4 linked regions of the Tamandua tetradactyla genome follow. The protein of the gene in region 3 purifies or fractionates together with the protein of the main gene of each other region. This does not show direct contact. Links are inferred from orthologs where the notes say so. Each region holds a gene or a part of one and is shown on either strand. Other genes may lie near its edges.

What was found.
Region 1: the proteins of CUL4B (region 3) and UBXN7 purify together in Homo sapiens (affinity purification with mass spectrometry; 3 studies listed by BioGRID and IntAct, with this or other methods). This does not show direct contact. The link is inferred for Tamandua tetradactyla from reciprocal best matches to the Homo sapiens genes CUL4B and UBXN7.
Region 2: the proteins of CUL4B (region 3) and COPS8 purify together in Homo sapiens (affinity purification with mass spectrometry; 7 studies listed by BioGRID and IntAct, counting the BioPlex papers as one, with this or other methods). This does not show direct contact. The link is inferred for Tamandua tetradactyla from reciprocal best matches to the Homo sapiens genes CUL4B and COPS8.
Region 4: the proteins of CUL4B (region 3) and EZH2 purify together in Homo sapiens (affinity purification with mass spectrometry; 4 studies listed by BioGRID and IntAct, with this or other methods). This does not show direct contact. The link is inferred for Tamandua tetradactyla from reciprocal best matches to the Homo sapiens genes CUL4B and EZH2.

The regions. Positions count from the first base shown.
Region 1 is NC_135336.1:17,370,477-17,377,943, reverse strand, and holds the start of UBXN7 (UBX domain-containing protein 7), read right to left. Parts: upstream 3,007-7,467; 5' UTR 2,951-3,006; coding exon 2,878-2,950; intron 1-2,877. Other genes in the region: diphthamide biosynthesis protein 3, read right to left, coding at 5,894-6,142. UniProt on the Homo sapiens protein: Ubiquitin-binding adapter that links a subset of NEDD8-associated cullin ring ligases (CRLs) to the segregase VCP/p97, to regulate turnover of their ubiquitination substrates.
Region 2 is NC_135329.1:214,107,789-214,115,555, reverse strand, and holds the start of COPS8 (COP9 signalosome complex subunit 8), read right to left. Parts: upstream 3,006-7,767; 5' UTR 2,915-3,005; coding exon 2,837-2,914; intron 2,763-2,836; exon of another isoform or gene 2,580-2,762; intron 1,320-2,579; coding exon 1,249-1,319; intron 3-1,248; coding exon 1-2. UniProt on the Homo sapiens protein: Component of the COP9 signalosome complex (CSN), a complex involved in various cellular and developmental processes.
Region 3 is NC_135353.1:46,084,232-46,091,960, forward strand, and holds the start of CUL4B (cullin-4B), read left to right. Parts: upstream 1-4,713; 5' UTR 4,714-4,967; intron 4,968-5,594; 5' UTR 5,595-5,607; coding exon 5,608-5,668; intron 5,669-7,729.
Region 4 is NC_135327.1:193,080,219-193,088,014, forward strand, and holds the start of EZH2 (histone-lysine N-methyltransferase EZH2), read right to left. Parts: upstream 3,006-7,796; 5' UTR 3,005-3,005; coding exon 2,960-3,004; intron 1-2,959. UniProt on the Homo sapiens protein: Polycomb group (PcG) protein. Catalytic subunit of the PRC2/EED-EZH2 complex, which methylates 'Lys-9' (H3K9me) and 'Lys-27' (H3K27me) of histone H3, leading to transcriptional repression of the affected target gene.

The sequences.
Region 1 (7,467 bases), on a different chromosome or scaffold from region 3:
TGTGCATTTTGTATATATGGTTGGGTGTCAGCCCAAGTTTGTGTTAATGGGATACTGTCATGGTTAAAAAATATTTTTAAAACTGCTGCTTTGGAATTACCTTCAGATCCAGCAGCACATTCTTTCTTCATGCTTTGAGAACTGACATGACTTCTGAAAGAAGTCATTCAAAGTCATGTATTATGAATATCAAGAGATATCAAGTGGAATAATATCATAAAATAAATGACTATAAAGTAACAGGACTGATCTTACGTAGGTTTAAATGACTCTGAAGGCATCAATGGTAGAGGTAGACAGCTTTTCAATGTGATTCAGAGAACAACGTTTTGTTAACTACTCTATTAAAGACTAATCATGGAAAAAATGTTTTATGATGTAATACTAACTGAAAAAATTCAGAGTTCTAAATTATGTACAACAGGATCCAGAATGTAGACATAAGTATATGAAAAAGAATTGGAACATAATGTAAAATAAATAATACTGCTGTTGTGACAGTGGAGGTTTAGTTTTTGCCCCCTTTTTTCAAAATTATTTCATGTGTCATGATATCTTTTTAATAATTTTCTTAAATCAGATTCATTATTTCAAACTCAAGTATTATAGAAATTTGTTCTATTTAGTAAGAAATAAGACTTTACAAGAAATCTTAAAATTTTCTCTTCTATTTCTAAATGCCATATTGGTAGATTGATAGCATTTTTGAAGATGCAGTGCTTTTATCAAATTAATGAGCTTCCAAATATAAAAAAATCTTTCTGAAATCAGAGCATAAGTGCTTAAGATCAGTCTGATTCATACAGCAATGAAAAAAATACCTTTATATCATAAGCACAACAATTTCAAATATATACCAGGAGAGATAACACCAAAATGTATTTGTAAAATATGTGGAAAAAAGGCTGAATAGGTTCAATCCTGTGTTTCTAATGGTTAATCATTATCTTATAAAAAGAATCCCCAAAATTATTAATAGAAATTCACAACACATTAAGAACAATCTAAGATATTTTCCCTTTTGTAGATTTCCATATAACCACTGTCTACTGAGGGATGCCAATTTGATTTAAGAATAGAAAGGCCTATGACCAAGAAACAAGCAATGAAGACTGACAGAAACAGAAAAGCTAAACTCAGTCAAATCCATTTGGCACACTTTGATTTCTAACTCTAACAAAAATGTTGAATTAGAAGACAACGTGAGGTTAAGGCAATCTGAATTTCTGAAGGGGTTAACATAAACTGAAATTAAATAAGTGGGACTTTAAATTAAATCACTAGGCATTCTAAAGGAAAGATTAATAATGGATATTCACTTCTATATCTGATTCTCTACAAGGATTTTTCTATATAAACATATGCAGCAATGTTAACTTACATACACAATACTTTTCAAAGATTCCCCATAACAAAGATTTAGATACTGGGAAATGCATAACATTTTAATATATAGCAAAAGATTTTAAAAAAATTATGAAAAATATTATCCCATTCCCCACCTCAACGCCATTACAAATTTTACTTTACCAACTCTGACGTGGTGTTTCACGCCCACAAGCTAGATAATGCATCGAACATCTAGTTTTAACCACAGAGTAAAAAATAAAACTAGTTTTAATTATAAAACGGTAACTTCCACACAATCTGTAATGGTTAAGACAAAATTTTATCTAACCAGATATTGCATGATAAACTCTGAGGACGTTAAATATTCTCTGCATCTAACAAATGACCAGATTAAATATGTAACTACTAAAGGAAAGAACTAATATTCTAACCTCCTTCTAAAATAACAAACGAGAACGGCAAAACCACACTCAGGCACATGGACTACTCTTCTCTCAAATCACTCCACAGAGAACTTCATCATTTGCTCCGCCCTCTAATAACTCATGCAAAAAAAGTTCAGCACCATCAGAGAGAAACAAGACACAGGGAATTCACAGAATGGCACAGGGCCTTTTCTCCAGGCTGAAAGAAGATCTCGTGTGCCCTTCACAGGGGTCCAAAAAAACAGGAAATCCTGGGCCTTGGGTTTGGGGATACTGACACCCAGAAACAGGTTCCCTCTCCGAGAAGTTTCCGCCGCCATCCCTATTTTAGCAGCAGGAGGCCCCGGCGCCATCTACTCGGGTCTTTATGATTTTATTATGGGGAGGTGGGAAACGCCTCCCAGTATCCGTCCAGGCCTCCAGAATCCAGTTTGGAGAGAGGGGGATTCCCCCCTCACTCTTCTCTTAAAACCCCAGGCCCTAAGGTTACTCCTCAGCAGCCCTCTTTCTGGCGGCCTATCCCCGGGGATCTGGAAAGGCGCTGCCGAACCCACCAGCATCGCCGTTAAGGCGGGAGGGCCCGAACACACCAAGGCCATGGCGATGGCTCGGAGGGGCCCAGAAAGGGGAAGGGCAGGCCAGGGACGCGGGAGCGAATGACCCGGCCCGGGAAGAAAGGAGAAAGGAGGTGAGGTGATACACTCTATCCGAAGCCTGCACAGACAAGAGATGATGAAGGAGGAGGAGGGCGGTGGCCCGGGTGCGGCCCCCCACTCCTCCCGCCCCCAGGTCCCCGGGCCGGCGGGGGCGGATGAGTTCGGCCCATTCGCCTGGACTGGGCTGGCAATAGGTTAGAGGTCTCCCTCCACACTGCAAGGAAACCGAGAACAAGGGTACAGGGAACGAGAAGGGGGGTAAAAGGGGACGTCTGTCTCCCGCCTAACCCGGAGACCCCACCGACGTCGCCTCTTCCTCAAGAGGGAGGACAGTAGCTGTGAGTAAAACCCAAGGGAGGAATGCAGGAAGGTAGGGGAAAGCACGGGGCAGACGCGACGCCCACTCCGGACCCCACTCTCAACCTTCCGGTAACCGCGTCTCTTACCGGTGATGGCCGTGAACTGCTGAATTAACCCCTTCAGCGCCGAGGACGCCGCGGAGCCCCCGTGGGCAGCCATCTTACCGCCGCCGCCGCTGCCGCCGAACAACAACACAGACACACACGGGCCGCCCTCCCCCACTTCGCCGCGCCGTTTGCGCAGGCTCATTGACTGCCCCCATGCTCCGCCCCCCCAGTCCGCTGCGCGGTGTGCGCAGGCGCACCTCGCGGCCTGTCCCGGAGCGTTCTCCCTGCCCTCCGGGTTGGCTGTTCCGTTGCTGCCTGCTCGCCGAATCCTTCTTTACAACCTATGGCTCCCCCTTCTCCAAGCTCCAAGACCAACCTTGTAGATGCGGTATTGGTTCCTGGTTTCCAGAGGCAGCCTCGGTCTCGGCAGGTAGCAGGTTCCTCGCGTTTCAAGTTCACAAGCTTTATTGATAGATCCAGCTGCCGATGGCCGTGTATTTTTTCTTATTTTGCAGGTCCCATCAAAAGCCAAATGTCATTATCGGCATTGTAGCAACTTTCTTTCCGATTACCCAACCTCTGAATTTTAAATTGCTTAGTCAACTGGTGCAGCAATCCCATACAGCAGAAAGAAAATGCCAGAACCCTTTCAAGCCAAGAAAGCATGGGTAATAGAGGGGATTTATAGCGGGGTTTTAATAAACAATTTTTCAACCTGCTTTCTTTCAATAAATATGTCCACATATTTCCCTCCTCGGGATTCCAGTTAGTTTCCTTACTTTTAAAATGAGGGTTTGCTATTTTTAAACAAAGAATATTTGCTACTTTTATAATTTTAAGTATTCTTAAATACAGTTCTATGATTGGGACGCGCTCAAAGCTGATGATTTTCTCTCCTTGAAAATAAAGTTAAAGAGCCTCAGTTTAGGTCATCTGCAGATTTGACCCAACCTAAGAAATAGTCTGTTAATGTGCGACTGGGGAGAGTTGAGAAATAACCGAGTTAAATCAAGGTTAGTATAGGGTTGTAGTTTCAGAAGGATATGATTGGTGTAAAAGAAAGCAAATCCTAATCGAAAATATTGTGACCTGTGCAAAGAAAGGATGTGAGGCATGGTAGCAGGCACAAACCTGAGAATAAAACACCTGGAAATGCTGCCAACTCATTGCAAGCATTCTTTTAAGTTTGTAGCTGAACTCTCAGAAAAATAAGAGAAATCTGCAGGGGCCAAAAAATGAACAGGAAACTAAATCACCCAGCAATGAGTTTGAGATGATGTCAGGACTGAGGAGCCAAGAGAGGAGGTTGTAGGTCTGGTTAAGTGCCTTTAAAAGCCACTAAAAGTCAAGAGACAAGGCCTTGGACCTTCTTCACTAAGTGGCCTAAATGGGAACACCTTCTCCCCACCCTTTTTAAAACTGAGACCTTTGAAGAACTACTTGCTCAGTAAAAATGTAAAAGCGCAGAATACGAAAAATACACCTGTCCTGGGAAGGAACAATGAAACTTTTCTCTCAGCCCCTGAGCTCCTTGAGGTGGGATGTAGATGTAAATAAATAAAGGAATAGATAAATAATAAATCCCTCAGAATTCCTAACTGTGGACCTGCACTCGGGATTTAAGGTTCAGTTTTACAATTTGCAGAGTACAGGAACCAACCAAAGGAAAAAGTTAATATAAAATTCTCCAGAGCTGATAGAACCCCAGGGCAACTGGGAGAAGCAAGTATAAAATAGAAAATTTCTTATGAAATAATAGCAATTAGTCTGATACAAAATTTGGACCAGAACAGCAAAAACAATGGACTGTTAGCCTTAAAATGCTGAGGAACAAAAGTGTGAAACTAAGATTTTATGCACAGATAAATTATCATTTAGGGGTAAAGATAAAATGAAGAAAATATCAAACAACTGAGATTACTGAAAAACAGACCTACCCTAAAAGAATAAAGGACATACTTCTTTTTTTTTTTTAATTTTTATTAATAACAGCAACATACAAGCACATACATTCTTTTTTTTTTTGATTTATCTGACTTTATTTAGCATACCAATAGTTTATCATGGTAATAAATTAGTATGTACAGTTATCAAAAAATGTTGGGTGCTTTCCAAGGAGGTGTACACTGGAGGTGTATACTAAAGTCTTTTGTAGAACCATTTAAACAGCTGTCCTTCATAATTTTCCAATCCAAGTGCGGTAACATGAAATTTTTGAAAAGTAGTCTCTTTAGCTATAAATCATGATTTAGATAGTTTGAATTTATAAAGATTTCAGATGCCATTTCAGTACCTGCAGGCTACCAAATCTGACATTATAGAATTGACAATTCAGTAATCATTTGATCCTATCAACTAATTATACAGATAGGAATCCACTGGTATTGTCAAAGATTACAAAAGCTAGTAAGAAGCAGAGCCTAGCCTACAAATTGCTTCTTAGGAAGGTTCCAAAAATATCTGTTGGGCTAAATAAGGCACATATATCACATGGAACTCTAGTCATACATAAAAAGACCCTGGTTTTACTTTGTTTAACATTAGATTGAATTCTGATGGTCCTTTTGTAGTTCACAAATATATTTGGTGATTTAGTTCTGTGGAAACAAAATCTTTCGGACTATTGCAGTTCACCACCCATCACTGATTGCCTAGTGTCGTTTACGCTTCTTTTTTCCTGGGGTGTTTCAACTCTGGCAACTTTTCTTCCCATTATTCTGAGCTCATAATAGACCTACTTCAAGGGTGTCTGTTCTTGTTTGAAATTCAACATCAGCAGGAGTTAACATAATATCAACACCTTTTTAAAAATTTGGATGGAAACTTAAGAACACTTGCAATTCAAAGTTTTATACCTGAAATCCAGGTATGTCATGCTGTGGGTTGCTTCTTTAATTGAAGGTGAACGTAGCAGTTGATGAAAGAATCCACAATCTAACAGAACAACAAACCACAAAAAAAGGTTGTCCTTGTGAAGAGGTCTGTAACCTTGCATTTGATTTTTCCATCTTAGTTCATTCTCGGTAGTTCGAGATTTGAATTCTTATAGCCTTCTTTAGCACTTAACTAATTCTTTGTTGGTAGAAGGTGCTGGGATTGTTTCTCCACACATAAACTGATCTTTGTCATAAATCACTTTTATAATGAGAGAGCAGCTAGGGCACGTTGCCACGTCTTCCCCATTCTCCAAATCTTCCTTGGTGATGGCGAAGTTATCCCCACATGGGCAGGGGTAGAAATACGTCTCCAAGTCTTCGTCATACTGGAAGTCCTCGATCTCCACCTCGTCGTGAAACACGGCCATTGCCACTGAGGTCAGCAAGAGGGCTATCGCCCCCGCCGCCCGACACCACCTCCGTGGGTTTAACCTCGGTGGCGCCGGCCGGCAGCACATACATTCTTAACATACAAACATTCTATACATGGTGTACAATCAGTGGCTCACAATATCATCACATAGTTGTATATTCATCACTGTAATCATTTCTTAGAATGTTTGCATCGCTGCAGAAAAAGAAATAAAAAGAAAAAAGAAGAAACTTATACATACCATACCCCTTTCCCCTCCTTCTCACTGATCACTAGTATTTCCATCTATCCAATATATATTTTTTAATTTTACCATTTGGTCCCCCTATTGTTTATTTTTAATCTATATGTTTTACTCATCTGAGTGTAGAGGGAGGAGGGCTGGGGACATAAATAAAATCAGAAAGAAAGATAGATGTTAAAGATTGAGATGGTATAATCTAGGAATGCCTAGAGTGTATAATAATAGTGCCTAAATGTACAAATTTTAAAAATGTTTTTGCATGAGGAAGAATAAAGGAATGTCATTATTGCAGGGTGCTGAAAATAGATGGTAATTAATATTTTAAAATGTCACCTTATGTGTGAGACTAAAGCAAAAAAAATGTTTATTTGGTTCAAAATTTGTATTTTGACTAGTGCAATTCCTAATATAACTTATGTAGATAGTTTGATTGAACAGCATAAGTACTTGGAATCTCAGGTAAGACATGAGATTTTGTTGGTTTGTCCAGAGTGATGCCTGGATGAATCCCAGAGTTCTTCGATCAGTGAGTGGAAAAGTATTTGCAAAGTCCCCTTCGGGGAATGGGGAAAATGGGGAGAAATTCAATTCCCCCAAGTTGAATTCTTGATAGTCTCATAAGCAGTGCAGACAACCAAAGCTATAGGCTGAGCCCCCAGTCTTGGGGTTTGTTCATATGAAATTTAACCCCACAAAGGATAGGTCAAGTCTACTTAAAATTTAGGCCTAAGAGTCACCCCCAAGAGAGCCTTTTTTGTTGCTCAGATGTGGCCTCTCTCTCCAGCCAACACAACAAGCAAACTCACCACCCTCCCCCTATCTACATGGGACATGACTTCCAAGGGTGTGGATCTTCCTGGCAATGTGGGACAGAAATCCTGGAATGAGCTGAGACTCAGCATCAAGGGATTGAGAAAACCTCTAGAATGAGCTGAGACTCAGCATCAGGGGATTGAGAAAACCTTCTCAACCAAAAGGGAGAAGAGTGAAATGAGACAAAAAAGTGTCAATGGCTGAGAGATTCCAAACAGAGTTGAGAGGTTATCCTGGAGGTTATTCTTATGCATTAAGTAGAT
Region 2 (7,767 bases), on a different chromosome or scaffold from region 3:
TCCTAATTTACACCCCCCCATAAAAAGAATAATCAATTACAAAAACAGTCATCTTAATAAATGTTTAAATTTTGTTTCGATATGAAAACACAGAAGTATACTTAAAACACTCTGTATTATACAGAGTGGAATTTATTTTATATACACGTCTCCACATAAGGAGACAAAAAATACTTTCATCAAAAGTTAACATTTTACCATTTTTAGTGAATTTTTATTAATGATCCAGGTACTAACTTATGGCTACGGTACACTAAAAACACAAAGACTAAAACAAGAATTGCCCAAATTAATTCAGGCATAAAAATAACCAAACTTATGTTATACAATGCTTTTCTCCTTGCTATAATCCCTCCTACCAGAGGAATTAAAGGCAGGGTTTTTAAGGGTTTGTAAACTTGAACAACACAAGAGGACAGAATTATAAAATGTGAAACAGATAATTTACTCTGCAAAGCTGTCCAGTCTGATTAAACCTGGGCCCGGGGTTAGAGAGGGATGTCAGTGAGTGACATTAAGAGGGTCCGGGCAGTGGAATGAGGACCCAGAACAGCAAAGCCAGCTGGGAAAACTAGTGGAAGTGGCTCTTGGTAAGAGATTTACAGCTAAACACCCTAAAGTGCCAGGAACTAAAGCTGTGGCAAACCAAGAACTGGGAAAAAAATTGCATAATACATGTGCAATACACATTTCAATTTAGTATGTAAAAAGATAGGAAAAGAAAAAGGTTTGGAGGAATTTAAAGCAAATGTCATCAGTAATCATCTATGGGTTGTAAAACTGTAAGAGACTCCTATCCTCCTGTACAGTTGTGCTTTCTGACTTTTTTCTAATGAACATTAGGAATAATTAAAAACAAAGGACTTTTAAGAAACCTCATTCTTCATTCATTCACTACTCTTAGCTTTCTCAAACAATCTCTCCTTACACCTTCTCTAGGATTACTGATTACATGTGAAGTCAACAGAGGTCATAAGAAAGTTAGAAATAAGAAAACAAAGGCAAAAAAAAAAAGGTCAATTGAAGTAAATGTGTAACAAAATTTACTGTCAAACTGAAATGTTTTTAGAGGGTATATGTAAAAAAACTAATTAAAAATAACTCAGTCTAATCATAATTCATTAAGTTACCATTCAATATGAAAAAGGTACATGAGGTCTGACTTAGTGGTGCTACTTCAACGCAAGAACAATTTCTGTATAACTCTGAGGAAACTGCTGCTCTTAGCTTTAGGTAAAAAGTACTTACATGTCATTATGGAGCAAATAGAGAGCTAGAAGCTGACCGTACACTGGGGGTGTAGCAATACCTCCAGGAGCCTAAAGACCAAAAGTGAAACAGAAAATTTTTATTTATTTTTATACACTTATAGAATAATACTTTATTAACATTAATATAAAAAGTAAGCTGATTTTATTATAGCACTTACTATCATGTATGTAAAATCACCTTAGAAAAGTTGAAAACCTGAATATTAAGTTTAGATCTGCCATCAACTATGATTTATCTTCCCCGGGCCTCAGTTACTTTATACTTTACACATACAGTTACTAAATAGTGCTGCTTTCCCAATTCTCAAATACTCATTTAAGGAATCTTACTATTATAAAAAACAAACATTTTCAATAGAGTCCTAAAGCATTACGGTTCTGCCCATGATATCAAATACACTGAATAGCTAAGTAAACAGCAAGGGACAGAAAAACATTGCAACTGAGTTACAAAGACTTTTCTCCCCATTCAATTTTAATTAATCCAGAAAACAGCTGTTAATTGCCTACTAGTAGTGAGATGCTACCTCTGATTAATGTCTTCTTTAATCATCTTTTTATACCAATTTTTAAATGTTTTAAGCACGCTTCTAAGAAAATCTTTAAAAAATAAGCTTTAATAGCTGCACAATATAACTTACATCTGTCTTCTTACATACAAAACTACAGACCTACTTGATATTATGAGATTAAGAAGGACTTTCTGAGTTAAGAAAAGGCTGCAGTGGTCACATCTTTCCTGGTTTGTGTATGTGTAAGTGTGTGCGTGCACGCGCGCCTGCACAACTGTCTTAAATAAAATCCTCATTCCCCCTCCCTCTAGACACGAAGAAGGAAAGAAAAAAAAACTATCTAGTCTAAACAGAATGAGAAGCATACTGGTGGATGGTAGGAGCAAAGATGCATTCGTTATTAGAGCTAACAGCTGAAGACAAATAGGTAAAAACAACAACAACAAAAAAGAGTTAATTAAGAAACACTAACCCACACTTTGGAAAGCACAAAATCACATGGAACGCATTTCTAAAAGTACAGCTCCTAATGGATTCACAAATGGGTGCACATTACAGACCGGGAAAAACAAACAACAACTGACAACAGAGACAACTAAAACATTTTATCTGTGTACAAATAAATTGATGTAGGCCCAAACCGTATTTAACTTAGCTAATTTGGACGCAAACCGAAAATATTCAAAGTACACCCCACCAGTCAAATTTAATGCTCGTTGTTTCACTGAGGATGGGCAAGCAAGCAAAGTGGCGTCGGGGAAAATGTCAGTTTACAAGCCTAAAACAAAAAAGCCACCTGCCGGACGGCGGAGGGCCAAGGCCCTGACAGGTGGAGAGAGTTTCTGAGAGCGGTCGGCAGGGAGAGGGTGGGACAGGGACCTAGCGTCCACGCCGCGCTACCCTTGGAAAGGAACTCGGGTGGCTCGGGGGCCCGGGCTCCACACGCCCAGCTCCGGCGCCCAGCCCGCCGCAGGCCCTGTTACCCTGGAGACCAGCGCCGCTCCCGGCCCGGGGCGACTCCACGGCTTCCCCCAGTCCGACGCGAATCGCTACCTCGAGCTCCTGATTCTCGCACTGATCCAGCAACTTCTTGAAACTGAAGCCCCCTTCCGCCATCACCGCCACTGGCATCTTCCCCACCGGTGCCACCGCCACCCCTTCCGAAACCCAGACCCCAGACTGTCCCGAGGGGCGTCGCGCCCGCGATGACGTCCAAGGACGCCGGCGCCGTCCGCAGCAGGCGCGTCGCAGTTTCGTCAGACGTCGCCCCGGCCGCGAAGGGTTGCCGCCGCTCTGGCCGGCCGTCTCGGTGGTCTGGAGGACCTGCCTGGCCCCGCGCGGAGTCCGCCGCCGAACCGGCCAGCGGGGCAGCTCTGTCCGCGCGCGCGGACTGCTGGGAAGCGGCCCTGTGCGGAGGAAGACAGATAACGCCGACACTAAACCCGCATCGGAGGTTGCTCTGGAGGCACAGTGAGGCGCTTCTTTTGAATCTTCACGCGTAGACCGAAGGCGGTGACGCCTGCGCGGCCGCGCGGGTGTGGACGAGCCCGCGCTGTCCCTCTGCGCAAGGCCCCGCGCGCGTCGGTGCCCGGGAGGTGGTCCAGCGCCGGCCCCGGACGTGCTGCCGCCTGCTTGAGGTCGCCGCCCGGGGGCCCAATAGGCGTCGCGAACGCAAGGGTTCAAAATCCAGTGTTTGTAACTTTCCCCCAAACCTGCGTTTTCCGCAGCATTCCCCGTCCCGCACGCCCCCCTTCCACGCCCTCGGCAAGTCCTGGCTGCGCTGTCTTGAGGATCCGTCCAGAATCGGAAGCTTCTCTGCCTGGGCCGCTGCAATAGGCCGGCCTCGCTCCTGCCTCTCCAGTCTATTCCTTGTTAAACAACCTGAGTGATTTTTCAAAAACGTTTACCATATCTTGTTACTCCTCGGTTCGAAACCCTAAAATCCAAAGTACTTGCCGCTGCTTACAAGGATGACAGCCCCCTTTTGACTTGCTCTCGACGCTGGCCTCCTTTTCTGCATAGTACCTGTTAGCAAATACTATTTCATGTATGCATTTATTTGCATATTGTCCCGTTGGACCCAATTTACAAAACACAGGTTCAAAGATAGAATTATTCAAACATTTTAGGTGACAGGTGTCATAGATTGTTTTTGCACACTGAATGTCTTCATGTGGAAATGTTTGTGTGGTATGTATACCAATACTAGCATGAAGAGGGAGACGAGTGTTGGGGATAGAATCAGGTGCCCCACGAAAGACAAGTTCGCGACATAACCCGTGCTTTGGGGCATGAGCCCGTTTGTAATAGGACCGCTGAAGACGTTATGATGAGTTAGGGTATACCCAAACTGAGTGATGGCAGGCTTGAATTAATATAGCTGAAATCCTAGTAAGTAAAGGTTACTGGACATGGGTGTAGAACCAAAAATCAGTGAAAGTCAGAGAGGCAGACTCAAGAGCAAGAGACAGAAAGAGAGACATCGCCATGTGGCAGGGGATTGCCCGAATGCTACAAGCTGTGGGAAGAAGCAAGTCCTGCCGATACCATCATGTTAGATTTCTGTCTTCCAAACTAGGAGCCAATAAATCCCTGTTGTTGAGCCGACACATTTTGTGGTGTCGTAGCAGCACTGGCAAACCCAAGCAGAGGGAATAAAGCCACATAGGGATAAAGTTTCTGTGTTTCATTGGAACTAACGCAGTATAAATCTGAAGTAGATTCTAACAAATTAAGATGAATTTGGTAAATGCTGGGACAGACACTAAGAAAATGGATCAAAAGCAACGCAAAAATCATAAAAGGAATTAAGGTGTTACACTAGAAAATAGTCACTTAAAGGAAAAGAAAGCAGTGAAAGAAGAATCGAGGGAAAAAGAAGACATGAATACAGAAAAAATGTCAGGTGCAAATCCAACTATATCAGTAATAGTTTTAAATGAGCATAGATTGAACAATCTAGTCAAAAGACAGAAATTTTCAGACTGGATAAAGAAACAATAGCTAACTATATACTTTCTACAGGAGACACACTTTAGATAAAACAATATAAATAGATCAAAAGTAAGATGCACGAATGGCAACCATAAGAAACTGGAGTGGCTAATAATATTAATAAAAAATGTTAATAGAAATAAAGAGGGATTTTGTAAATTATAAAAGGGCCAATCCAACAGAAGGATATAACAATTAAAAACATACGTGCACCTAATGACAGAACTCTGAAATACATGCAGCAAAAACTGGCAAAATAGAAGGGAGGAATAAACAATTCAACAATAGTAGTTCAAGGCTTCAATGTTGCCACTTTCCATAATGGCTATATCAACTAGGTAGAAGGAAATAGGAGATGTGCACAAAACTATAAACAAATTAGACCTAACATTTATCTATAGAACACTCCATCCGACAACAACAGGACTCGAATTCTTCTCAACTGCACGTGGACCATTCTCCAGATTAGACTATATACTAGACTGTAAAATAAGTCTCAACGAATTTAAAGTGATTTAAATCTTACAAAGTATATTCTCTAATAAAAATGGAGTGAAATTGGAAATCAATAACAAATAAATTTTGGAAAGTCACATATATGTGGAAATCAAACAACACTAATTACTACTAAATAATATGTCAAAGAAATCACAGGAAAATTAGAAAATACTTTCAGATGAATTCAAGTGAAGGCATGATACATAAAAACCTATGGGATGCAGCTAAGTCAGTATGGAGAGGGAAATTTGTAGCTGTAAGCATCTACATTCAAAAAGAAGAATAATCTTAAATCAGTAACTTTATCTTCCATTTTAAGTCATTGGGAAAAGAAAAGCAAACAAAAACCCTTAAAGAAACAAGACCCAAAAGTTGTATCTTTCAAATAATCATCAAAATTGGCAAACCTTACGCCAGACTGACCAAGAAAAAAAAAAGAGAGAGAATACTCAAATTGCCAAGATCAGGAATAAGGGAGGGGGCATCACTCCTGAGCTTACAGAAATAAAACAGGTTATAAGTGAATACCGTATACAATGATATACCAAAAATTAAATAACTAAGATGAACAAATTCTTAGAATGATACTATTTAAACTTATTCAACAAGAAGGAGAAAATCTGAATACATCTATTACAAGTAAAGAAGTAAAAGAGTTGAAATAGTAATTTTAAAAATTAGCCACAAGAAAGAGACCAGGCCCAGATGACTTTTGTTATGAATTCTATGAAATATTAGAAGAATTAATACTAATTCTTAAAAAATTCTTGCAAAACATAGAAAAGGAGGGAGCACTTCCCAACTTATTCTATGAGGCACGTAATACCGTAATACCAAAACCAGACAAAGTCATCACAAGAAAATAAAACTTTATGAGTAGAGATGCAAATCTTCTCCACAAATAACTAGCAAACTGAATCCAGCACTATATAAAAGGGTTTATTCACCATAATCAAGTGGGATTTATCCCAGGAATACAAAGTGGGTTTAAAATCCACAAAGCAATGAATATATGTACCATATAAATAGAATAAAATACAAAAGTTAATATCAAAAAACATGAAAAGATATCTGCCAAAATACAACACACTTTCATGATAAAAGCTCGCAGTAAACTAGGAACCGATGGGACCTTCCTCAGCCAGATAAAGACATCAGTGAAAACAACACAACCATATCACACTTACTGGTGAAAGACTAAATGCTTTCCTTCTAAGATCAGGAACAAGAAATTTCCACTTTCTACACTTCTATTTAATATTGTACTGGCAAGAAAGGAAAATAAATAAAAGATACGCAACTGGGAAGTAAGAAGTAAAAATATTTTTATTTGCAGATGACATGATCTTCTACATAGAAATTCCCAATTACTCCATTAAAAATACTGAAACAACTAAATGAGTTAAGGAAAGTTGCAGAATACAAGATAATATTCAAACATCAATTGTATGTATATATGATAGTGATTAAATATCCAAAAATGAAATTAAGAAAACAATTCTAATTATAAATAGCATAAAAAGAATAAGATGCATAGGAATAAAGTTCATAGAAGAAGTGAAAATTTTATACTCTGAAAACTAAAAAGCATTGTTAACAGAAACTTAGGGCACTCTTAATGAATGGGGAAACATCTCCCATTTATTGATTGGAAAACTTAATATTCTTAAGATGGCAATACTTCCCCAATTGATCTATGGGTCCAATGTACTCCCTATCAGAATCGCAGCCACTTCTTTGTAGAAATTGGCCAGCTAATTTAAAAATTCATACGGAGTTTTAAGGGACTCAGAATAGCCAAATAATATTGAAAAATAAGAACAAAGCAGGAGGACGCATAACTTCCCAATTTCAAAACATACTGCAAAGCAATGGTAATCAAAAAAGTGGGGATCTGGCATAAAGATAGACCAAAGGAATAGAACTGGTTGTCCAGAAATAAATCTATGTGCACATGGTCAATTGGTCAATTGATTTTCAACAGGTGTTCCAAGACCATTCAGTGGGAAAATAGTAGTCTTTTCAACAAATAGTAGTAAGACAACTGAATAGCGACATCAAAAGAATGAAATTGGATCCTTGCCTCATAAAGTCCTAAACATAAGAGCTAAAACATTTAATAAAGAATACATGGGGGTGAATTTTCATGAACTCAGAATCTGACACCAAAAGCACCAGCAACAAAAGATAAATTTGACTTCATTAAAATTAAAAGCTTTTTTTTTTTAAAATCAGAGGACATTATGGAGAAAGTGAAAAGACAAATCATGGAATGGGAGAAAATATTTGCACACTATAGCTGATGAGGGTCTGGTATCCAGATATGTGCAACAGATTACAACAACGATAATAACAAAACAAATAACCCAGTTTAAAAAATGGGCAAATCACTTGCATAGACATTTTAACAAATAAAATATACACATTGCCAACAAGCACATGAAAACGTGTTCAACATAATTAGTTATTAGGGAAATACAAATCAAAACCAT
Region 3 (7,729 bases):
CCACATGAATGCTCACCAGAGTGTGAGTTCATTCAGCAAAGGAAGACTTTAATAATCAAATGGATAAGATGATCCATTCTGTGGAAACCAATTGGCCTCTTTCCACAGCTACTGCTGTCATTGCCCAATGGGCTCATAGTATGGTGGTAGGGATGAGGTTATGGATGGGCTCAGCAACATGGATTTTCACTCACCAAGGCTGACCTGGCTATGGCCACTGCTGCATGTCCGATCTCTTAGCAGCAGAGACCAACACTCTGTCCTCAATTTGGCCCATTCCCAAGGTGATCTGCCTGATAGCAGGTTGATTACATTGGACCACTTCCATCATGGAAGAGGTAGCGTGTGGTACCTGGAATAGACACATACTCTGGATAGGCATTTGCCTTCCCTGCATACAATGCTTCTGGCAAAACTACCGTTCATGGACTTATAGAATGCCTTATCCTCCATCATGGTATTCTATACAGCATTGCTTCTGATAAAGGAACATATACACAGCAAATGAAGTGAAGAAATGGGCCCATGCTCATGGAGTTCACTGGTCTTACCATGTAACCCTTCATGTTAAGGCAGCTGGATTGATAGAATCATGGAATGGCCTTTTGAAGACTCATTTACAGCACCAGTTAGGAATACCAATGGCCCAGAAACTTCAGGAATAACACTTTGCTCATCCCACCAAGCAATGAGTCAGAACCAGCTGAGATGCTTCCCTCAGGGTAAGGGTTATTTGGAAATGGTAGTAGAAGAAGCTAGTGATAAATACAGACTATGACCACATGACCAGTTACAGAAATGAGGAATATCACAGTTATGAATATTTCTTCCTTGTCTTGTTATATTTCCACATGAACATAAAGTAAATATAATTGTTGTCTTCCCTATCTTATCCCCTTATCACACAACAAAAGTTGTATTAGTTTCATGTTGTTATATTTACATGAATATACCCAAGGGCTTCCACCATATTCTGGAGAGAGTTAGTGTGTTTCCAGTTGTATGCAGGACAAGTGAGCATTGTTAGGCAAAAATATGACTGATATTAATTGTTATTTAGTGATTAAGTCTGATTTATGTTGATCTGTATGGCTGCCGGTTCATGTGTCAACTTGGCCAGTTGATGGTGTCCAGTTGTTTGGTCAAGCAAGCACTGGCCTGTGAGGACATTTTGTGGACTTAAGTCATCAGTAAGTTGATTACATCTATGTCTGATTACATCTACAATCAACCAAAAAGAGTGCCTTCAGCAATGAGAGAAGTCTCATCCTATCAGTTGAAGGCTTTAAAAGAAGTGATGATTTCAGCAGTCAGGACGGAGAATTTCCATGTCTTTGGCAGCTGGCCAGCTTCTCTTGGGGAATTCATCAAAAACCTTCAACACAGTTCCCAGCTTGCAGCCTGACTTATGGAATTTGGACGTGCAAATTCCAACAATCACATGAAACAATTTCTATAAATATCTCATATTTTCAGGTTATCTTCTGTTGATTCTGTTTCTCTAGAGAACCCTGTCTAATACACCTACTATGCCTCTTGGATGTTTCAAAAGCACCTCAAATTCAACATTTCCAAAACCAAACTCTTTCTTCCTTCCCAACCCCCTAAAACTGAAGCAAAAACTTGATCCTCTCCCAGGATTCTCTATGTCAGTGAATATCACTATCATCTATCCACTTGTACAAGCCAGAAATCATGGAATCATCCTTACTACGTCCTCTCCCTCATGTCTATGTCCAACCCATCCTGAAACCCTATCAATTTTACCTACCAAAATCTCCTCAAACTTGCTTCTACTCTCTTGATCTCTGCCAGTCCCACCATCTCTAAGATATCTGCATTTACACCAGGAGTATAGTAATTGCCTTCTAATTGAGCTCCCTACTTTGACTTTTGCCACTAATCTGCTGCTTTTTACAATCAAAGTGGTCTTTTACAAAACCCAGATTTGCATATTTAATTTTTTCAATTGTTCTTATTGTTTTTAGGGTTGCAATGTGTACACAGGGCCCCTCAAGAGCAAATTAGAAAAAGGCATGATACTTGAAGCAGAAAAATTGCAAAAGAAAGAGTGTCCTCTTGGGTACGGTTAGTTAAAAAAAAAAGTCACCCCTTTGGACAGACCAGTTACAAAAGCTTGTCTTTCTCTTGCTTTAGGACACAAGGCTAGGTTAACTAGCTGGATTTCATTTCCCCACTCCTACCTGTTCAGTCAAACACGCTGGTGCAGGGCACATTCTGCAGAACCATACATAGTGAACAATAGGGTCTCTGTTGATGCCAATTACAATGCCCAGAGACAAGGCCTTGGTCCTATCGGGTCTTCTAAAAATTCCATGCACAGGGTTGAGAGGTCATGTTTAAACTCAGAGGCCTAAAGCAGGCTCTTATGACAGCAGCATTTCCTCCCCACCTTTCACTGCTCCAAGAGACAAGCCCCTTAATTCCCTAAGATCTGATGTTTATGTCATAGGAGCTCAGAAAAGGGAGGGCAGATTGAAAAGGATATGTGAATTTGACTGAAAATGTCAAAAATTTGGTACTACACGCCTATCAAAATGGCTAAAATGCAAAAATTGTGACTCAAACACCAAATACTAAATAGGGTGCAGAAAAATTGCATCAACTCATACACTGATGGTGGGACTATAAAAGTTTAAAAGTTTACAGATTTAAATAACATTCTTGAAACAACAAAATTATAAAAATGAAGAACAGAATGGAGTTACTAGGGGTTCAAGAGGGAGGGGAGAGAAGGAATGTGGGAGTGGCTATAATATGTATTTGTACAGAATTTATATTTGTGTTGATAGTAAAGTTTTAGAAATGGAGGGTGGTAATGGTAGCACAACATTAACAGCACTGAATTATATATATGAATGTGGTTAAAAGGGGAAATTTTAGGTCATATATATGTTACTAGAATAAAAATTAAAAGATAAAACATAGGACTGTACAACCCTACTGAAAACTATGGACTATAGTTAATAGTACAATTATAAAGATATTCTTTTATAAATTATGACAAATATGCCACACTAATGCAAGGTGTTACTGATAGGGTGGTATAAGAGGAAAAATACACCTAATATAAATGATGGACTATAATTAATAATACAGTTATAATATTCTTTCACCAGTTGTAACAAAGATACCAAACTAATGCAAAGTGTTAATAATGGGGGGTGTACATAGGGATGCTGTATTTTTACATGATTTTTCTGTAAACCTACAACTTCTCTAATTAAAAATATTAAATAATAAAATAACATATGCAGTACTGAAGTAGAAATGCATATATGATTCAGAGTTTTCTAGTGGCCAAAGCAACAAAGGAAACAATAAATTACAAGTAGTAAATTTTATATGAAATAAATATGATTGTATACAAAACAGTCTGGGAGAAGCTCCTCCATGGACCCTCATACCAAGCATTATAGTGGGCAATGCTCTTCATGAAAAAAATACTGTATGCCTATTTTTATAGGATCTATTATTGTAAGCAGAGAGAACATACCTCCAAAGCAAACTTTATGGAAAGCAAATACTATATAAAATTAAACAACATAAGCAAAAATAAAAAGGGACATTAATTAAGAAGGATCCTTGCATTGATGGAACTGTCCTGTATCTTAATAGTAGCAATGCCAATATCCTGATTGTGATATTGTACTACAGTTTTGCAAGATGTCACCATTGTGGGAAACTGGCTAGACGGTACAAGACAGCTCCTTGTATTATTTCTTACAACTGCGTCTGGATCTACAATTATCGCAAAATAAGAAGGATAAGTAAATTTTTAAATTTAAATAAAAATTAAAAGTTGCAAGTCAATAAAAGCCCATTCATAAAACTCTATTAACTTGAAGTCATAAAGTCACAATGAAAAATTGAATTTGCCTCTTTACAAATGGATCAGGGGCATCTATAACCTTGTTAATCGCAAAGTGTTGTTATTTTTTGTCTACTGAGATATTTACAAAAAGATGGCTAGCACCTTGATTGATTTTTATGAGTGTCATTGCTCTTGATATGATTATTTGTATATCACACTTCTATGCTGGGATAAATACATTTTTAAAAAATGTTAATGCCTCCTAAGTGAGATTGCAACTTAAATTTGGAGCAAACTATCTCTTTGTTCTGGAGAAAAACGAGTTCTCTACATGCCATTTCATAATGTAAATTCAACAGACATCATCAGATCCAACCCAGTTGAATGAAGCAACGACTGTAAATATTTTGGACTAGAATTTGTGGTCAGATGATAAACTATGTCTCTGAAGACTTTGTTGATCTTTGGGGAGAAATGGTTATCATTTTCCCCATACCTGTTTAGACAGATCCATGCCTGTATATCACTGTTTGTCGAATGAAGTTAAGTATGTTATTGTTCCGGCAATTGGTAGCATAAGACGAGGCGATGAGACAGAGAGGACTGCAGAAAACATAGTGTGAAAAGGAACTAGGCTAGTCTTGGCACAAGAACAACCCTGGCTTGCCTGCAGATGTCTCATAGGCGGTATTATCAAAGATAGAATAAACCAGACCTTAGAAATGTACCCATACCAGATCGTTTTGAGGTTTTGGTTTTTTGTATTTGGCACCAACAGGTGCCTGTTAGACAAGTGGGGTTACCCCTGAAATAATTGGTCAGATCTACTGTCAATCATCTTAGAAAACAATTAAGTGAACCGGAAATCGAGCCTCTGTGGGCGGAGCTTAGGTCGAAGGGCGACCTCAAGTTGTAAGGGTACTTGTTTGTGAACGGTCCTGGCTGATCCGTCAGGTTTTTAGAGATCGGACTTTTCATAGATCAACAATAAAGATGCCCTGTTGGTCCTCATGTGATGGTGAGCTAAGCACCCCTTTGAGATTGTGAAAGGCGGTTAGAGTACCGTTTAAGAACCAACTGAAAGTGGGTCTGGACTTGGGCCTACCGACTCTAAATGAAGCCATATCTTGAGGTATTTAAGTTATTCCCTATGTTGTATTTTCTTATGTTATTCCCAAATGTATAGTAGAAATACATTAAAAGATATAGTCTTTCTTCATCTGTGATGTGGAGAATTTAGGAAAAAGCCCAGTATAATCATTGTCATTAGTGGAGAAAGCACTATCCGGCAAAGTGGTGATAACAAGAGGTCCCTCAAGAACAGGGACAAAAGCGCTGAAGCCTGAGGAGGAAGAAAATTAGCGATCTGGTTCTGATCATATGTGGAGAACCCTTAGAAATAGTTTTGAGGGAAGTCTAATTTTTGGCATTCAAGCGGGGGTGGTGTGGAGGTCGGGGCTCAAGTCATTGTAGTTTGGGGATTTAAAAGGAAACGTTTGACTTTCAATTTGAGATGTCAGTCTGAACAAACGTGTTTTCCTCTTAAAATTATATTTAAATGAAAGAAAAAAATATAAGAATAGAGCCATAACTACAAGTGGTAACAGAGAAGGGTGATTAGCAGACTAAAATGTTGAGGATCATCTTGAAGATATGAAACCAATAGGATAAAACTGGTTGAGAAACCATAGTCAGTGAACTCATAACACCATATGGGAGAAGACTGCTTTAAAAGTGAATTCTCTGTTTTTTAATACAGCCCAAAAGACAGGATGTCACAGACATCTGGATCAGGGAATACGCGTGATGATGGGGAGATCCCAGAAGACAATGGTGAGTAAATCAACTAAGTAAAACCTAGAGTTAAGTCTAAATAATTGTTAACAGTATGTCCAGGAATCTTGAAGAAATTATTAAGAAATTATTCCTATGAAGATCAAGGCATAAAACAATAAGAATTTAATAACAAGGTGGAAATAAATTCCCCCAGACAGAGTAGGGATTACGGGATGGTGGTCAAGAAGGGCACTTCTGCTTTTGCTTTATAGTTGTTGTTTTACAGTGAGAATGAATTCATATACTATTTTGGCAAAACTTTTAAAGTTTCATAATACTTAGTTTGATGATATTGATAATAGTATAAAATTTTGCTAATATTAGTGTTATAATATAAAAGTTTGATAATATTAGTGGTGCTAAAGATGCGGGACAGTCAACAGTCATTCTGAAGTTGACCCGATTCCATTTCTTCAAAAAAATCCTTGGTAATACTTTCACACATGCACAAAGATATATGTTATAGCATGTTTATTGCAGCATGCTGGTAGTAGCAAAAAGGGAAATAACCAAATGTCCAAAAATAGGAGACTAGTTAAATGACATGTTGTATTTATTTACTATGAATTAGTATGCAAATTGTAAAAAAGAATGAGGTAAATTTCTAGGTACCGTCATGTAAAGATCTCCAATATACATTAAGTGAAAAAGGCAAATTGTAGATATATATGTATGGTATGATATCATTTATGCTTAAAAATACCAAAGCTAAAAAATAAAAAGAGACAGAGGTTTCCAGGGGTCTGGGACTCTAGCCTAGTACCTCTCTCCCTTCCTTCTTCTACTTGATGAAAACCTGATAGAGAAGCAGAGAAATGCTGTATCTGGGTTACAGATGAGTCTGTATAAGTCCTCTTTCTAGGTACCCTCCTGTGTGCTCTAGAGATTTTTTTTTTCCTCCACAGGAAAGCTAATTTAAATCTTTTTGTATTCTTTTATTTCATTACCATTTGTAAGCTGTAGATTACATTTGGGTAAATTTACTTAAAGTTTTAAATTCTTGTTATAGAGCAGGAAGCAAAATTAAAAGTCACCACTAAACATTCTCCATATTCCTGTTTTTATCACTCCATATATTATGGTGCAAGTATCAGCAATTTTTTTCTGTAATAAATTAGATAGGAAATATTTTATGCTTTGTGGGCCATATGGTCTCTGTCACAACTACTGAACTCTGTTGTTTTAAGAAAAAAGCAGCTTAGGAAATATGTAAATGAATGGGCATAGCTATGTTCTAATAACCCTTCATTTACAAAAACAGGCAATGGGTCAGATTTGGTAAACAGGTTTGCCAGCTTCTGCTCTAAAACTGGTAATAGTTTGCCAGCCACTGCTCTGTTTTATCTTGTTAGCTTGTGTCTTACTTCCCATGCTTTAGCCCCACAGCTCTTATATCCAAAGATGAGTCCAACTTGTAGATCCATTTCCTGAATCAGTCTGGCTCAAGATAAGAACTATTATTCAGAAGCCACAGCTCCAACAGTAGGCCTAGGAATTGCTATGCCAGACTTGAGACTGCGATGCTTCCTTGACATCTCTGTTTAGCTCTCTAGTTTCTGATTAGGAATGTAGCCAAGCACGGATAACTTGTCTCCTTGTAAATGCCTGCTTATTCTCTCACCTCAGGACTTTAACAGGCTGTCTTCCCTCCTTGTGCCCCCAGCTCCCTCCCTTGTCTGCCTAATTGCCACTCCTCCTTGGGATTTAGATTGAATTACTTTCTCTGGAAGTTATTCTTAACTCCCCACCCTCACATTTCCTCCACTCCATTCCACCTTCCTAGGATTCCCAGGTTTCCCTCCTCTTTGTTCTCATAGCAGTGGTTGTCAGCTCCATCCTGCATTTGTCTGCCTCACCTACTAGGCCAATTGAGAACTGTTTTCGGGCAAGGGTTGTCTTTGTATATTCAGTGATAGGATCATAAGGGTTCTCCAGCAAGATCTGCTCAGTGTTTGTCTGGCTGTGACCAGAAGAAGGAGCTGGTTTGTACCTCCTGTGAAGATGAGCCATTGACTGAGGGTCCAGCCCTGGAATGGACTGATTTCCTAGAACCAAATT
Region 4 (7,796 bases), on a different chromosome or scaffold from region 3:
CCAGTACGTCTCAAGAGTGCCAGACCACGCGGCCTTTCTGAAAAGCCCTCAGCAAGTGTAACTAGAACCTAAAGAATCATTATATTCTGACATCTGGTGATTTCACTCCCAAAAATTTATACCAAGAAAATAACTGGTATTGAAAGATGCATGAACTCAGGATGTTCATGCTGGCATTATATAATACAGTGAAAAAATGCAAATAACTGACGTGTCCACCGTTAGGGGTATGAGTGAGTAAATTATGAGCTGTCTACAGGATGGACTGTTACCCAGTTTCTAAAAAGGATGCTCATGAAGAGAATTTAATGGTACGGGGAAATGCTTAGACTTCATAAGTAAGTTAAGCAAAAGTAGCATGGTTAAAAAAAAAAAATGTATTAGGCATGATCCCAACTGAAAAAAAAAACGCATAGAGAAAGGGATTGGAAGAAATAACTACTTGGGTAGTAGACCAATTAGGTCATTTTTAATTTTCCTCTTCATATTTTTCCACATTTTCAAATTTTATCTAACAATCATGTATTTGCTCCTATAATCAGAAAAAGCAATAAATCTTTTCCAAAATGTCTGGGTATCCTGGTGTGGAGACACTGATCCCAAGCAGATGTGAGGGCGGCCAGGAAAGCAAGCAAAGCCGCTTCACTTCCCTGTCACCTGCAAGGGCCAAAGACTCCTACTCTACTTGGCTCTCATATTCCCTGGTTGAATATTCCACGCTGGATTCAAACCGCAGCCACCATTCCATTGTTGCGACAGTGTCAGATTCAGAACAGGCAGTGCAGGGCCAAGACAGGATGCTCCTTTCCCAACGGCACTGTCCAGTGACTTGTCTGCCCGGTCTCATCATTTCAGGATGGGACCCACCTGGAGGACACAGTGTTTCCTCCTGTAGCCATATAAACATAGCTCACTGTATTCAGTTAGATAGCTTAAAAAGAAAAGGACTGTATGGTGTGTGAATATATCTCAATAAAACTGCATTCAATTAAAAAAAAACAGAAAAGAAGGGATCATTAGCATGAATCTAGGAATTTATAAATGTTTTGGATAATGGGAAGGGAAAAAAGAGGACATAGATACAATGTTGATCAAAGTTATTAAAATTAAATCCCTGAAGAATCATACTCAATGATTATTAATTAATTCAAATGACCCTTTATTTAATGTGCTTGGTAGGTGCTAGGCATTAGATTAGGCACCTTTCACCCCTGCAGTAATATCTTTGATGGAGAGAAAGAGTCAGGGGCTTAGAAGGAGCACATTAGCCCTGGAGAGACCCAGGCTCAGAGAGGGCTCCTGCTCCACCTTTTACAGATTGTGGCCCTGGAGGAAGTTATTTCATTTCACTGATTTAACCTACCTAATGGAGTAGGCTCTAAGGACTAAATGAGACAGAGCTAGTAAAGCTCTTAGCACAATGGTTGGCATGGAGGTAAATCTCCAAGAACATAAAAGAGGGCAAGCAACTTGAGTCCTTGTAGATCTAGAACTAAAACTATTTCTATTAAGATGTAGAGCTAACCTCTCACCCCACCATTTATAAATACTTGCTCTACATCTCATTTTATTTCCTTTGAATCAAATAAATATTATAGGAGGGAGAAAAAGATAACCTGTTCTATCAATTTCCAAAGATATAGACATCACTAGTGTAATATAAGTGAGATAATACAAGGAAATTTGCAAATTATTATACAAACTATGATTACTGGTATATAAATTTTCACCTCAATTGACAAAAAATCTCCAAATTTCTAAAGATGTCACTACAACAATTATTCGCCTTTAAAATACAGCTTTGACAGCATATCTCTAAATCTACTGCCTTTCCTAGATTGCATGTATTTTAAAAATCTAAACTTTTTGTGCCACCAGTTTTTTCTACGACAATGTTTAGTATCTTAACTATCTGAGGGTTCCTTCATTTTTCAGGAATTCCCAATCCCAGTCCCAATATTTCTATAATTTCCAATTTTTTTCATTGATCACAATAAATAAGAAAGTAACCTTAGGCCTTTTTCTGTACAATTCTCTGATTTGTCTTTACAGGAAGGTAAAACAGTCAGTCATTGGAAAGCCCTAACGAACAGGCTTTACTCTGAATAACTGCAGGAAATCTATCAAACTTTCCCAAGAGAATTTCTTTAAAAGGCCAAAGATTCTGATATACTGAAAGGCTTACATATTGAAAGTATTTCTGGCAAATGAAACACCCGGGTTCTGACCAACATCCTTGGCCAAAACCCTCTCCTTTAATTAAGAAAAACAAGGGTTTGGTTGGCAAAAAAATTTGTGCAAAATACTCAAGTGCGGACAGTCTCCTCTCAGTTTTTCCTTAAGCTTTCATTAAAATCTTCATTTAAAGCTTCGAAGGCTCACCCATGGTTTGCATTTCCTAATCAGTTCTTGATAAGAAATACCTCGGCCGCCGTGGTGGATTGAGAAACGATGACTAATTTATGAGGCATTTAAACTGCTGAAGTTCTCTTTTTAACAAACACGGCGTTTCCTGGGTGGTATTTGCAATTACTGGAGGAAAAGAAGGAAGTCCTGCTGGGGTCACCTGTATGACCCCCATTGACTTACTCTTCATCCTTAACCAATTTGGAACCTGAACAGTAGACGACCGCGATTTCCGGGGACGGGGACTTTTAGGGATTAAATGGAGCAGGCTGGTGGGAAATACAAGTCCCTAGAGACGGAAAAGGAGGCCAGCGCTCTGCCTCCCAGGAACTCCGGATTCCGCCGGATCCGCGTCTGCGAAGACCAGACGTGGCTACGCGGTTCTGAAACTTCTATGAATGTGAGGGGGAAAACCCGCCAAACAAGCAGGCGCAGGTCCCACATGGCAGCGCAGAGGCAAAAGAGTGGCTAGATTCCTTCGGTTATTCACTCGGCGGTTCCGCCTCTACGAGGGCAGGGCGTGGGTTCCCAGCTCCAGCTGGGCTGTACTTACCAAGACTAGCGAGCAACTTCTCCAGCCTTCATTGCTGGGAGCCATACGCCTAGTTTACTTTCAGATTTAGCTAGGTGTTACCCATAATGCACTTGTAAAAGGGAAATGCAAAAAAGGTTGCTAGCTGATAAAATTCTTGCAAAACTATTTTAAAAAGAGTAATTTTGTTTTATTTTCACTGAATTTAGTCGGAAACTATTACGTATTTTTCCTGTCAAGATTGTGAAATAGGTCATGAAAAGTGTCCTTACTTAGAAAAGAGTTCAAAAAGGAACTATAAATAGGCAGAGATTAACAGTTTGTATCGGTTGGTCCGAGGGTTGTGGGTTATTGTTAATCTGTTTAGCATTGTCTCCCCCCACAACCACGCTTGACTAACTGTCGTTTTTTGCCATAGAGCTAACAGCAGCAGTTGGTAGGATTTGTACGAAGATAATTGAGATGTATGTGAAAGTAATCTTCATGTGACAGTTTGAATAGGAGAGTATTTTTGAAGTTGCCTATACTTCAAATGAACCTTCAGCGTTCTGAGAAGATAAAAGATTTTTACTCTTATAATGGTTAATTTGATATTATACAGGAATGCACTTCTCATTTAGGAGAAAAGAGGGAAAAACAAGTTGAAGAAGGTCCCTTTCAAATATGCGTATAGCGTGCTCATGAATCTGCGTGTTACATAGAAAAGATCTGGAAGATGTATACCAAATTGCTAAGTGTTTAACAAGGGAGTGGGATTTCAGAGGAAGGCATTTAAAGAAATATTTATAGGTTAAAAAAAAAGATACAGCAAGTTTGTTCTATTAATTCAGTCATTAATTATGTTCTATAATTCAGTCATTCAGTAGGTGTGGATGAACGTGTTTTCCATAAATTTGGTTTTTTATATAGTTTCACATATAAAATACATAGGTTCACAGATCAGGGTCAATTTAAAACCATGTACATCAGTTTAAGCTCTGTGGTAAGACTTACTGATTCCAGTATTAATCCACCATTTTCTGTCTTTAGTTGTCAAGCAGTGGTCATCTCTTTGGTTTAGTCACCACGGTAGTTAGACTTTACATTTAGACTCAAATCATGAGGTTTCAACACAAGGCTTTCATATTAGCAAATAAACTTGACTCTTTTGTTGAGAAATATGCACCCTCTGTTATAAGTTTGCTCCATTTAAGAAAAACAAAGAGTCTTGAAAAAATTTGGAAGAAAGGCTCTACTTTCATTAAATCTTGATAGATGAAAATGGTGTTGTTTGTTAACAAGCATTATTCTTAGCTGGAGAAGTTGTATAGCTTGCATTTGCAGGCTGGTGGGAGCTCACTGAAAACAGGTAGTTTGTGTCATTTGTCTTTAGTAAAGTTAATACATAAATTAACTCCTGAATTAAAAGACATTAAGAAACAAAATGCTAGAAATGTCAGAATACCAGGATCTTGTTCAATGATAGTCACTTAAATGTTTCAAATTACAAAAAAGTAAATAAATAATTCTATCAGAGGTGAAGTCCACCGTAAAAGAAATGGACTAGAACTAAACTTTTTACCTAGGTAATTTCAATCCATTACTCAGGCACAAGAGTGACGATGATTAAGATCCTATGTTCTTTGTGTCAAATAAGTTTTTCACAAAGATATCTGTATCACAGAAAAAAACTGTAACATTCTTATAAAAAGATGACGAATTTTTAAACAATCACACACACATATTTAGACATATATAAAGAGAAAAAGAGAAATCTGGAAATGAGTGTTATCATTCAGCCTTGCCACTTGAGGGGATTATGCAATGATCCCTGCCTATCGCTATTTACCCCCTTGTGTAATCCCCTCTCCTTGGGGGTGACCTGAATTTTTTGACTCATCTCTAAGAAATTGAATAAGACTAAAGTAATGGGATATTATCACCAAGGTTAGTTTTAAAAAAAAAAAAAAAAGACTGTAAATTCTGCCTTGAGTTCTCTGTCTCTGTCTCTTTGAGTCTCTCTTTCTTTCTTTCTCATCCCTTCCTCTGAGGAAGCTGCCACTGAAGACAGCAGTATGGAGAGGCCACACCCAGTGAGGCCCTAGGCCCAGCAACTGCCACATAGAGTTAGAAGCAGATTTTTCCCCAGTTGAATCTTGAGATGGCTGCAGCCCCAGCCAATACGTTCATCTCAGCCTTGTGAGAGACCCTGAGCCTGAGGACCTGGATAAGCCGCCCTGGATTCCTGACTCACAGTCACTACTGAGAAATTAAATGTTTGTTGTCTTTAATCGCTCCCTGTTGGGTTATTTTGTTATGCAGCAATAGATAACTGATATATGCATTTGATCCAAAGGCGCTGCCATTGCTTAAGCGTATTTGCAAGGCTTCTCTTTTGGAAGTGTGCTTCAGAGAAAATGGGCCATCGTTACTTTAATCACACCCGTTTTTCCCAAGAATGTACTTCCCAGCTTGCTCGCATTATACTCACCATCTTTGGCTTTGAAGGACATCAGGCTATTTTAAAAAGCAAATCTATCTTCAAAAAAGGAAGATTTGCTGCCATGGGTAATATTATGGAAGAACATGTACAGCTTCTGAAGGCAATTTTATTTGGTTTCAAATATATTTTAAAGATTTTTTTTATTAAAGCAGCTGTAGGTTTACTAGAACTTTATGCAGCAAGGATAGAGTTTCCATACAACTCCCTCGGCCCCACCACCACCACCACACACCACACAGTTTTCCCTATTGTTAACATTTGGCATTAGTGTGGTACTGGTTTTGATACCAACAAAAGACAGTTTCTCTGCTTGGTGTGCATAACAGCTAATCCATGACACCAGGGTTTCAAAGGGAGAAAAAGCATATTAGTAAGGGAGAAGCAGGAGATCAAATGGCCTATCAACCCCAAAATCTCTCTCTCCCAATCTAAGGAGTTCAGGATTTTTATGGATTCAAACAAGGGGAGATGGAATTATTACCATTATGATATCAAATATAAATAGGGTTCAGACCAGGCTAGAATAACCATTACAGTAGTAGCTATAAATAAGAGTGGGACTAGTTTGAGTTTCAGTAATGTCAGGTATTAACGTTAGGTTAGTCTACAAAAGAAAATACGGTTCTCTATATAATGATCCAGTAATCATAATCATTTATTAATTCTTAACATTTTGATTACAGTTTCACATATATTTTGACCAATAGCTACATCATTGGAATAGTTCTTCCAAAAAGAATAATACTTACTTTGGATATTCAATGCCCAGAGTATCTAATGAATGTGTTGTGCTGTGTTTATTTACTATTTAGCAAATGTATGACACTTGTTACTGATGATAATCTATGCCTAGGTTTTATAGATGAGGAAACAGAGACAGGACTTGCCCAAGGGTGCGCCACTAGCAAGTAGACTAGCAGGCAGTCTGGTTTCAGGGTCCATGCATTTTACTATAAAGCTATTCTGACCACATTGGTTTAAAATTAATCACTTTGTTTTATAGTTGTATTTCATACAATAACAAACTCAAGACAACAATAAATGTTGCATGCTTAATATTCATTGTAGTAAAATTTCATCTCTGTAGTCAAATAAAAAACAAATCCAGGTTTGGTAAGGGAAGATTTTATTCAAAAGGATCATTGCAAAGTATGAATGGGGTTATTGCAATAGAGAGAAGGGCCTGTAGTAAGGGGGAGACCTCTCTGACCATCAAGAATTAGGCAAAATGAGTCTTTCTATTATACAGAGGAAAGAAACCAGGTGTAGGGTAGTGGGATGAAAGGATGACGTGGTCAGATAATAGATTAGAGAATATTTTATGCTTTGAATCAGCCTATTTTCTGGGAGGTTCCTTTAGAGTTCAGGTATCTGGAGGAAGAAGAGAAGTTTAACCCAGGTTTGCTTAGTAAACTTTGTTCTGATTGATCATTTTGATCTGATAGATCAGTGGAGATAAGCAATTCAGCTAGCCATTTATGAGGTATTTTAGATTGTTAATGCTGCCAGAATACAGTATACCAGAAATGGAATAGCTTTTATAAAGGGAATTCATTAAGTTACAAGTTCACAGTTCTAAGGCCATGAAAATGTCCAAATTAAAGCATCAACAAGAGTTTACTTTCACTCAGGAGAGGCTGATGTTGTTTGCAACACTTAGTCAGCTGGAAAGGCAGATAGCTGGCATCTGCTGGTCCTTATTCCTGGTTCTGTTGCTTCCACTTCTGATGACAGTGTTTTTTCTCTAAGCATCTGTTGGACTTCACTCAGTTCCTCCATGACACAACTCTGTATTCTGCCTTGCTTAGCATCTCATGGGAAGGCACATGGCAACGTCTCCTGGGATCTACCAGTGCCTAGGCATCCGTGTCTCTGTCAGCTCTGAAACAACTGTTCTCCAAGAGTCTGCATCTGCATTTCCAAGTGTCTGTGTCTGCGCCTGCATCTGAGACTTCTTCAAAATGTTTTCCCCTTTAAAGGACTACAGTAAACCAATCAAGAACCACCTTGAATGGGTGGAGTCACACCTCCATCTAATCAAAAGATCACACCCACAAGTGGGCATGTCACATCTCCCTGGAGATAATCTAAAAAAAACCTTTCTGCCTACAGTATTGAATCAGGATTTAAAGAAATGGCTGATCCCACAAAATTGTATCAGGATTAAAACATGGCTTTTCTGGGGTACATAATAGTTTCAAACCAGTACATGAAGCAAAGAATGGGTATGTGGAAGGTCTGTGTCTGTCCTTGTCATGGGTAAACTGGGGGGGGAGGGGGGTAGCATCCATAAGTGTAAGGACCCAGTGTCTGGACCCCATCCTCTCCAGTATTTTGTGAGCAAGTCACTTATCTGCCTACATGACCAGGCCAGAC